2 linked regions of the Arabidopsis thaliana genome follow. The protein of the gene in region 2 interacts with the protein of the main gene of each other region in a pairwise test. Each region holds a gene or a part of one and is shown on either strand. Other genes may lie near its edges.

What was found.
Region 1: the proteins of SK13 (region 2) and AT1G35210 interact in a two-hybrid assay, tested with the Arabidopsis thaliana proteins (one large-scale study listed by BioGRID).

The regions. Positions count from the first base shown.
Region 1 is NC_003070.9:12,895,669-12,900,058, forward strand, and holds AT1G35210 (uncharacterized protein), read right to left. Parts: upstream 2,008-4,390; 5' UTR 1,717-2,007; coding exon 1,246-1,716; 3' UTR 914-1,245; downstream 1-913.
Region 2 is NC_003076.8:4,718,077-4,724,649, forward strand, and holds SK13 (shaggy-like kinase 13), read right to left. Parts: upstream 4,296-6,573; 5' UTR 4,024-4,295; intron 3,973-4,023; exon of another isoform or gene 3,905-3,972; intron 3,730-3,904; 5' UTR 3,697-3,729; coding exon 3,580-3,696; intron 3,474-3,579; coding exon 3,381-3,473; intron 3,202-3,380; coding exon 3,142-3,201; intron 3,047-3,141; coding exon 2,774-3,046; intron 2,671-2,773; coding exon 2,596-2,670; intron 2,515-2,595; coding exon 2,458-2,514; intron 2,340-2,457; coding exon 2,199-2,339; intron 2,086-2,198; coding exon 2,035-2,085; intron 1,893-2,034; coding exon 1,797-1,892; intron 1,714-1,796; coding exon 1,630-1,713; intron 1,549-1,629; coding exon 1,446-1,548; intron 1,357-1,445; coding exon 1,274-1,356; 3' UTR 918-1,273; downstream 1-917. Other genes in the region: DRM2 (domains rearranged methyltransferase 2), read right to left, coding at 44-93, 169-301, 380-502; AT5G14650 (Pectin lyase-like superfamily protein), read left to right, coding at 6,433-6,573. UniProt on the Arabidopsis thaliana protein: May mediate extracellular signals to regulate transcription in differentiating cells.

The DNA of each region.
Region 1 (4,390 bases), on a different chromosome or scaffold from region 2:
CTGAAATATATATATATGTATATATACGCAAAACTAATTAAAAATAACCGAACTATAAAAACAATAACCAAACATGTAAAAATATGAAATACACCTACCATTAATATATATTTCGAAATAATAATGTAATTTTTTTTATTAAATGTATTGAATTAAAAAAATTTCTCTTAAAATATAAAAATGAAACTTGTGAAATATAGAACCTATAAATATATTACCAATTTTTTTTCTTATATACTTTCCATCTAAATATGAATAACAAATTGATTTGAAGATGGAATAATGATCTTATATTTATCTTTTATCAAATATTTATCAAATATATGTTTTATTATAAATAAAATTATATATAAAGTGAAATTGAATGAAACTCTATGTGCATGTATAGATTAATCCTATATTTATATGAGAAGGATTGGGTAAATTTTCTCTATTATTGAATTATTTTAGTTGGTTATTTTTAATTTATTACGTATATATATATATGTTTACAATACTTCTAAAACGTTAACATGGCTCAATGGTTTAGAGCTTTAATAGCATTGAGAAGGTCACTAGTTCGATTCTTCCTTGTGTTTGTTTTTGTTTCTTTTTTCCAATTTCAAAATGACGTCGTTTTGCTTTTAACGGTAAATGCTAACAAAAAATTAATCCTGTTATTTTTTTGTTAACGGAAACTTAACGACATGCTTAAAATGGCAAAGTCAACAAAACTTGACTATTTTATCAAAAGTCAAGCAAAACTTTACAATTTTATTGGCAGTTTGGAAGTTCACGTTTTTTTCGTCCCAAATTTGAAAGTTCATGCTTTTTTTGACATTTTTCCATTTTATATTCTCACGAGTTTCATCAAAGAAAAGTCTAAGTTTTCTTTCAAGTAAGTGTGCGAACATTAATAACTACAACGACAACATTTTTTTGGGGGGTCAACTAAAATCAACAACGAAAATATTTTTTTTCAAGAAAATAAACAACGAAAAACATGTTCGCAAATCTCTTGATTTAGCGCATATAATTATATGTTCAACGCATATTAAATCTGGATTATCACATTTTATGTTACCACACTAAACTACAAGCTTAGGGAATCAATCACAAGAATACGTATAAAGAATCTCTCTCACTTGCACGTACCCACCAAACTGATCTAGTCATCTATATGTAGCAATCAATCTAAAATGAAAGAATCAAGAAAATACACAATCAAGAACAATCTAATCTAACAAATCTACAAGACTGACTATCTTATTGTCTCTTCTTTGTGCCCATTACCAAACCAAAAAAGAAACCACTATTCGTCTTTGTCTTCTTCTTCCTTCTTTTCTCATCATCCACTTTATAAGCTACGGATCGGCTTTTCGTCATCCACGAAATCACTTTCTCTCCTCTACCGCTGCCTCCGGACATTAACAAGTATCGTCGGCGATCAACAATAGGAGAAGGACAAGAAGAGACAGAAGAAGAACCGTCAGATGAAAGAGAGGAAGTAGTTGAGGAAGAAGTAGACAAGATTTGACGAGATCTTGGTCTACGTGAAGAAGCTGCTTTGATAAAAAGAGAGAGCCTCTCGTTAAGACAAAGAGAACAAACACCAGGTGATTGTCTATGCTTTGGATGCTTCTTGCAAAACACTGCGTTTTTGGTCTTATCTTCTGCCTTGTTCTTGTTACTTGACCCTCGTCTTATTCCGAGCAAGCTCGTGCTTAAGCTCGCCATTTCTTCATCTATTTGAGTGGTTAAGAAGAAACATCAAAAATGTTTATATAATTTTAATGGAGAGAATGATTTGGTCGTGGATGGTTCATTGGAGGTTTCTAGGGATTTTCCGGGAAAGTTTGAAGATGGGCCTTTTGTAAGATTTTTTTAGTTGACAGGTCGTGTGGGTCGGGGAAAAGAAGAATCAACGGTTAGGATGAAAGTAAGAGATTAAGTGACGGCTAAGATTGAGTGTAACAGGTCAGTTGAAATGACTAGAAAATTCCGAGTCTGGTAGGCGCAGAAAGTCCCAAACATTGTGTAATTCATATACAATATATAAACATTTACATATTAAAAAACATAAAACAAACAAAAATATATATAAGTTTAGTTCTTTTGGTTTGTACGTTATTAAATTTACACACAAAATACATTTAAACGCCATAATGTTTTAATCATAAGATGGTTTTTTCTACCATTTTGAAAAAATTAATTCCAAATCAACTACAATTGAATTGATCTTTCTAAAATTAACATATTTCTATGATACCATAATATTTGATATTTTTGCGTCTACCAAATAGGAAAAGGGTATTTTCATATTTTTACTGTTGGCTAAGTGTATTTTCATACCTGAATAATTTGGTAGGATAAACATGGGTTAAATTTTAGTTTTGTTTAATTTTTATTTCTATATTTTTGTTAAAAACAAATTGATATATTATAGTAGTAAGTGAAAAAAATTTAGCAACCACAAAATAAGATTGCATATAATTATGTTAGATCAAAAGTCAACATATTATAAATGAACCATATCTAAAATATATTAATTAAGGAACTTAGCTATTACTTTGAGTTAATTTAGGAAGTCATTTCTGAATTTTCAGTTTTTTAGTTGTTGAAATAGAAGTTTGTTTGAGCTAATTACATAATTTAGCATAATCGAATATATTATAAACATATATTTGGTATATAATAATACAAAATTCAGCCCGTACATAGAAACCGTATTTTTCATTTTAGAATTCTAATGAAAAAATTACTTACAAAATCAAAATTTTAAATATTTAGAGGTTGCAATCCTTATTTAAATCATCACATCTAATTTTAACCCACCGTTTATTATAAACATTATAACTTGTTTTATCATATAATATATTATATTTAACATGTTTAATTGTGAATTTCTGATTGATATGGCCAAGGGGAAATTGTATGATATATTTATCGTTAGAATTCATCAAAATATTCATTACTGGGCTACAAAATTACGAAAAATTGAATTTAGCTTCGCGAAGAGAAGTTGTAATAAGGCAGCACACTTGTTAGCTAAAAGGGGATGTCGATCTACTTGTTATTTTTCTGATTGTATGTACCTGCAATTATGGCCCAGTGAACAATTGTATCATGACGTTTTAAATTAATAAAATTATCTTTTCGACGAAAAAAATATGTCACCTGTTATAAATATTTTAAATATATCTATTTTAAAAAATCAAATTAGAGTACTAACAATTTTTCAAATTTTGATTTATTAAATAATTGTGATATTCTTTAAAAATATTAAATTACAATATTTATAAATGTTCAAAATTTTTTTTTTTTATTATGGTGGTATATAATATTATTTCAAAAAACAATTCTACGAAATCGAATATAAATTTTGGCCCGTCAGTCAGTTAAAACTTTTGTTGAATTATTTTTTTTAAGAATATATATTACCTAAGTCTGAAAATCTATTTATTTTTATATTTTATGGATGATATGATGATCTATTTTGTTCACAAAAATAGTATGATAAAAAGATGTGAGGTGAAGTATAATAATTAATAACAAATTAATATGGTAAGTTAGATATCAAATCTTATATGATCATTTTGATTGGTTATTCTTTTTTTAGAAATAATAACTTGACCGTTTTAGAATCCGTAGACCCGTGAGATTATTAAGTGGATCAAATTCTATGATTATATTTTTCTATGACATATTAATGTGGTTGTTACACTTTTGAATGTGACAACTTATGAGTGTAGTCTCCAATTAATAGTATAGGATTTACTACCCAAACCGCACAATTATTTGAAATTTATACATGAACTTGATAATTAGTGTAAAAATCAGATTCAAACTAACATGTGTTAGTCAACATCGTTACAAATCTGACTCAGCAAACATGTGGATTATGAAGTGTATATAAACGACGTTGTTTTGCATTTTTGGAGTTAAAATCTTAAAATAAAATTGCAAAACAAGGATTTCGAATCTTCGACCTTGTCCCTTTTAAAGGTGGTACATATATAACCATTTGTTCTCAAAACCTTCATTGAGACTTACCCAAGGATGTGAATTTATAAACATTAACGGTTTTGGGTTTTCAAACTAACAAAACAACGTAGCTGCGAATTGGGGAAAAATAATCCAAATCTAGGGTTTCAAATTGAAAACAATTTCTCATTTCTTCTTCTTCTCTAAAATAGAACAGAGAGCGACAAACAAGGAAATATTGAGAATAGAGAGCTAAAGAGATACATTGAGAAGAAGATATCGTCATTTTTCAAAAACAAAGTGATTCCTACTTATCCAGATATACCAGATTATCCATGGAAAGAGTTTTAAAACCTCCTCTCCTAATCTGAATTCCCGGCCTCTCCAAAAAATGAAGTCAAAATTATAAAACAGGGAATTTCTAGGG
Region 2 (6,573 bases):
TAAATGACAAGCAACCCAAGAGATCAAAGTATTAGAAACTCACTGAGTATTTGGAGATAGTATCAATTATAACCGAAGTTTCTACATTTGGTCCTGTATAATTATTGGTATCAAGTTACGGATCATATATATCCAGAAAGGAATACAAACAAGAGAAAAAAGCCTCACCAGTTTCCTTGATCGCTCTAGAAATCATCTCAACAGGAAATCCCATGTCAAACAATGTAGCAAAAACCTCGTCTGAGAAGCCCATCTGAACTAAATCAGTTGTCTCAGTAGGAGAGCTCAAAGAACTAGTTGTCTGAAACAAAACAAAAATTCACATAAGCAATGATTCTGCTTAGGCATAAACTTATGACTGTTGGATTGGATCACTTACCACGGCTACACCAGCTAGATTTTCGACCCTACACTGCATTGCATGTATTGGAGATGACCGTGGAGAAGATTGAAAGTTATCAATCTCCAAAAAATCATCATCATCGTTATTCCAAATCACCATGAGTAATACCCAGAGAATTTTTAGTTTGAGCTACAGATTAAGCAGAAGCGCTCCCGCCGCCGGCAAAGATACTGTCGCCGTTGGTGAGAGAGCTTGTATCGTCGTCAGTTTACTGGAGGAGGAAACCGTGAAACAAAAAGTCGGATGATTCTAAAAAAGAAAAAAACAAATTCAGAGTATTGCAATTTAGTCCCTATTCTTTGTACTACTTCAATAATTAAACTACAATGTTTTTAATTAACTAAATCAATAAACATGAATAAATGACACGTTACGTGACACTTGTGGTGCTTAGAGGCAATTTGCGAAACTAATTTTTATAGTCAATGATAATTCATGTTTAGAGGATATTACCAATTACCGTATTTCGTTTGAGGAAGTGAAATTGGTTAAACTTAAACAAGAAACTCTCGTAAATGACACTTTTACACAGAACATAGGCTTTTTTAAAAATAAGTTTGGCTAAGCTTTGAAGCATGAGCTTTGGATGCATGCAATGACACGTGACGAGCGAGAAGTTTATTTTATAATTTAGTATCCAACATAACTGTAGCGACCGGCGAGTCAAAGACCGTCACATACATTACACTAATCATTGTATGTAATAAAGTACAAAGGTTGTGATAAGACAATAAACAACAAAGATACATGAAAGATGAAAGCTAATGATAATCCTGAGAAGCTATCTCCATTACTTAGAAACGATAAGCATATTATATGCATGTGTACATACACACACACACACATATATATAGAGAGAGAGGAAGAGATTTAGAGAGCGAGGAAGGAACATTGTTTTCGGGCGTGGTCAGGTATAAGCTTGGACAACAACTCTAAACTTGCTCCTTTTAGCTCTACATATTTAACAAGAAGCACACACTTTTAGTCTTTGTTAAAACGGAGCATTGGGAAACAAACAAAAGCATATTTGGAGGAGACAGACCTTGAGGTTTAAAGTTGAAGAGAGGAGGCAAGGCACGACCATTAGGAAGACGTGTATTGGGATCACGTAGCTCATCGAAGAACGGGTGAACTATCGCCTCCATCTACAATAACAAGTAAGTTTGAATCAACCAACCAGATATATCAAACATAATGTTATTATGGTAATCACTTCATTGACTTACAGCGGTTGATCTGAGGTTTGGAGAATACTGGAGAAGTCTTGAGACAAGGTCTACAGCTTCTGGAGGTGTACGCTTATGGAATATCTTAAGAACCAACAACAGATTTTTCAATCGTAAGAATATATGGAGATCAATGTTAAGGAAAAACTGATGATGTGTTTGCTTACTTTGTGCCAAGGATGAGCCTTTATTTGCGGGAATTTGAATTCTGTGTAGTTTGGATTCATGCATTTGATTTCCTCCCGTGTTGGTGTTCCAAGAACCTGTAACACACACAGTAAACAAAATGATGGCAATCAATAGCAGGAAATGGAGCCTCTTCATTCCATATAATCAATGATCCACTCTATGTTCAATATAGCAATGGCTAGGATTATGTGTGTTTGTTTAACCAAATTGAAGTACCTTTATTATCTCAACTAGCTGGTCAACTCCACTCTCACCTGGAAATAGAGGCTAACCAAAAGTTGGACAAGCCAAAGATTGGTAATATATAACTTTAGACATCATTCGGTAAATCAAATCATTTGTAAAAGATAAATGGAGGAAAGTTTGGACAGTCATATTACCTGTCCCAGAAGCAATTCAGCAAGAACACAGCCTGCAGACCATATGTCAATTGTTGTTGTATATTCTGTAGCTCCAAATATAAGTTCAGGTGCTCGATAGTAACGGGAGCAGATGTATGAGATGTTTGGCTCGCCTTTAACCTGTTACAGAGGGGCAAAGCTAAAATAGTTAGGACTAGTTAACATTGCATAGCACCATAAAAAGTGCAAACTTTTCAATATGAAAACAAATCAACATGTCTCTTTACAAATGCTATACCAGAACTTTTGCGCTACCAAAATCGCATAGTTTGACCTGATGCGTATGAGGATTAACCTACGAGAAGCACAAGATTGATCAAGCAGAAGCATGTAGACCAATAAAATGTTATGAATAAAATCAACTAAGGATACGAACCAGAAGATTCTGTGGTTTTATGTCTCTGTGGCAGACTCCTACTCCACCATGAATATAAGCCAAAGCTCTGCAAATCTGCACCCACAACAGAAGGAAGAAATCATGGAAACAATGTTGATTAACTCATTGTATTTCAAAAGATGAGAACAGATGTTCTGGTGGGCTGAATAATAACTACCTGATAAGTATAGAGTTTAACATATATAATGGGCATCCTCTGGTTTGCCCGACTATAGTGCTTTGAGACGCGATAGACAGTCTCAGGAACGTATTCAAGGACCAGATTGAGATAGAGCTCATCTTTTTCAGTCGTTGAGAAAAAACAATGCTTGAGGGATACAACATTAGGGTGATCAAGAAGACGCATTGTCTGCAGCTCCCGATTCTTGTATCTCTTGTCTTGCAAAACTTTCTTGATTGCAACAGTTTCCCCCGTTTCTAAACACTTGGCCTGCATATATACAAGTAACAAAATTATCTACATTGAGTCAATGCACCGGCTACTTAGTAAAATCAATTATTCAGGGTAGTTAATCGAAACATCACCTGAAAAACGATTCCAAAAGAACCTTGTCCAACGATGCGCTCTGCCATATAACTTATGGTCTGAAAGGACAAAAAGAAAGAGCTATAAGAGACTTTATCACACGTTACACATCACAGAAACCACAAGTTGTGCGAGATATGGTGTGCCACTCATGTATGCGAATGATCTTTCTATCAACTTCCTATTAACATAGAAATAATGGAAATTCCTCAAAAACAAAAATGTTAAACAAGCTAACCTGTTTAGGCTGACCATTTTTACCACCAATAGTTGTAACAATAATGTGACCTGTTTCAGTTCCATTCCCATCAACCACAGCTGCTTCCATTTCCTACAAGAAACCACCAAACAGCAAGAAGAAAAAACACATTATTAACAACATAAAGTCCAAATTAAATAAGAGACTAAATCTCAATATTGAATCTGAGTTCTTCAACCTTATCATCTTTTATCTTCATCTCATTAATCCCTTCAGGTAATTTTTCAGCGCATATAGAAGCATTGCTTTGTTTTGTAGCCATAGAAGAAGCTGGTAATGTTCCCACAGAAGCCATATGTATTCAAGATCTTTAATTCAATTTGTCAATCTGTTAAGTCCAAACACACAAACAAAACATAGGTTTTTGTTAAATCACTTTCACACAACCAAATTGGAACAAAAATTACTTTAGCACAGAGACAGTGAATAAGATCTAATAAGTAAGAGCTCCCAAAAGCCTAGCTCTACATTTAACAATAGATTTATCCAAAGTTAACCACAACCTCAAACCTCCCTAATCTGTAAAACTAGATGTTTTGTTCCATAATCTCTCAGCGTCAAGCTAAACAAGTTAAACAAACACAAAAAGTAAATCGCCGACTACGTCGTGGCGCCGTCATACCTGAAAAGTCACCGCCGCAATTTCACTCCACCATCTTGTCTACGCAGCAACTAGAGAAGCCCTAGAATAAAACACTTCCTTGCCGAAAATGGCAAATCTCTCTCTTCTTCGTGATGTGTTTTGTCTCGGTGTTTGGTTTTTTCTTCTGATGGCAGAGAGAGAGAGAGAGCGGACCCCAATAGGTAGTTTCAAAGTTTCAGTTGATAGTTAGTTTTGACGTCCGCGCTCTCAAGGAAGAAGAGTATCCGCACACGTGGCGTGTTTTGGTTGGAATTACTAAGACTCACGTCATTTGTGTTGACTGCTTTTAATGGTTTTGAATATCTTTCCTGCGGTTAAGTGTATTGTAAGCTTCTCTAATTGACGGTTAGATTTAGGTCATGAAAAGCCAGAAACTAATCGGACGGCTACTAGTTAGAGGAGTATGAAACGTTAAGCGAAGCGTGGCGTACACAGATTCTCGTTCTTCACTTTTTCGGTATTTGTTAAATTGTGTAATGTTGTTTTGTCAGAAAAGGAAATCTCAATTACGAAATCGCCAAGTCATCACATAAAGCGACAAGATTTAGTTCGCTATTCGATGTCGTGTCTGATTCGACCGTTGGTGTGGTCTTACACGAGGATGGGCCTTAAATGAATATGGGCTTGCTATATACTTTCTCTTAAATGATAAGGCCTGTAACTAGCACTTTTTGAATTTAAATTTTTTTGTCCGAGTAATAAATAATTGCCAATTGGGATTTTAGATAGGAATCACCAATTGTAAATAAATGGTTACGACAAAAGAGTGAATTTCGTACACGATTGACGTTATTCACATAATTGCGTGCAATACAAGTATACAACACGATGCATGTAAAACATTAATATAGAAGTTGACCAAAAACAAATAGTCACTATTAAAATGATTCAATCATACACGCCTATTACAATGCTCTAGATTATAGACGAACGTAGTAAACGTTACATCAAATCACGGGTTAAGAATACACAATGATGAAATTTTCAAATTTTACGTCTTATGCGAGTTGTTGGACTTGGACATACACGAATTCTACGGAGTACTAGAAATATTGTTCATGTGACTTGCGAGTTATGACCACTTCACCGATTTGCCATCCAACATTTTTCCCCCCTGTATAATATATAAAATGATTAAACCATCAAAATATTGCAAAATTAGTCTCACGTTGCAACGTTAACTATCTCATTTAAACCAAAAAAAAGTACCATTACCTATCTTGTACTTATTATATTCAAGATATTGTGAGAAAGAGGACAAGAAATCAGTTACTTGAAAACAAAATCTATATATCAAACTTTCAACTGCCAAAAGCAATAGAAAAATTAATAAAATAGTAACAAGATTAGAAGAACTTCTACAATGAGTGATTATGTTATTCCAATTTTGGTAAGCAATAGGCTTCTCAAGATCATGAAATCAAATAGAATAATTCAACAAAGTTTGTCAACACGCATGGGCTGCATACACCCATACACGTAGCAACGTGCAAATCTTATTATAGCAGCCTATATATCCTTTTACCTGGGGACTCATGCACGTGTATTCAGATCACGAGTTTAATTTCATACACTGGACCTTACTAATATGCTTATAATTAACCAGAAATCCTCAGATGTTGGTTTAAGCTCTCTATAACAATAAACAGAAAACAATATCGAGCATCTTATTGTCTTGCAATTAATGGATCTTTGCAAATATGAGTTGACAACAAAGGATTACTTGATTTTAAAAGATTCAGTGACACCATCGATTTAACATAAATTACGTTGCTTGATTTCAGGAACTAAACATAAATAAGATTATCTGATGATGAGGTTTACGTGACATCTGTATGGCAACTTTTCTTGACTCTTTCGCCATTTCTATTGATGCCTGATACATGGATTTTGGTTTTCATTGAACCGAATAGCTTACCAAGACCGGCTAAGTATCTGACCGGACCTATGCTCTGTTCTAAACGAAAGTAATCAGTTATTTCTAGCGCCTAAAAAACTGTACACAAACCTTCAAAATCAGTAATACATAGCCATTGCATGAAAATTAGAACTAATGCTAGAGAACACACTAAGATATTAGTAGCGACCAAAACAATTTCTAAGTAACACGCCTATTCAACAACAAATCAAAGCCAAATCGTAAGTAAAGATGTTGATGTCAATTTAATAAAATATAGCAAATGAGTAGAAACATGCTTGATTTGAAAAGGAAGAGAGTTCCAAGGCTTTTTGTCCTCATCTAACTGTTTAACTGTATCATAGATTCATTCTCATATGCGTAACAGTGTTTTTTCTCCACTTATAAATATGACCCTCGCTTTACCATTTTATATCATCTCATAATTAAACAAATTCTACCCTAGAAACAAATCGTTTACAATATTAAAGATGTGTAGACTAACATTGAAATGTCTTTCCCTGAACTTTCTCCTCTTAATCTCCTTATTCTCTTCGAGATTCGGGACTTGTGACGCTAGGTACAGTGTATACTGGAAAGGAAACCGAAGGTCTATCGCCGAAGGGGGAAGT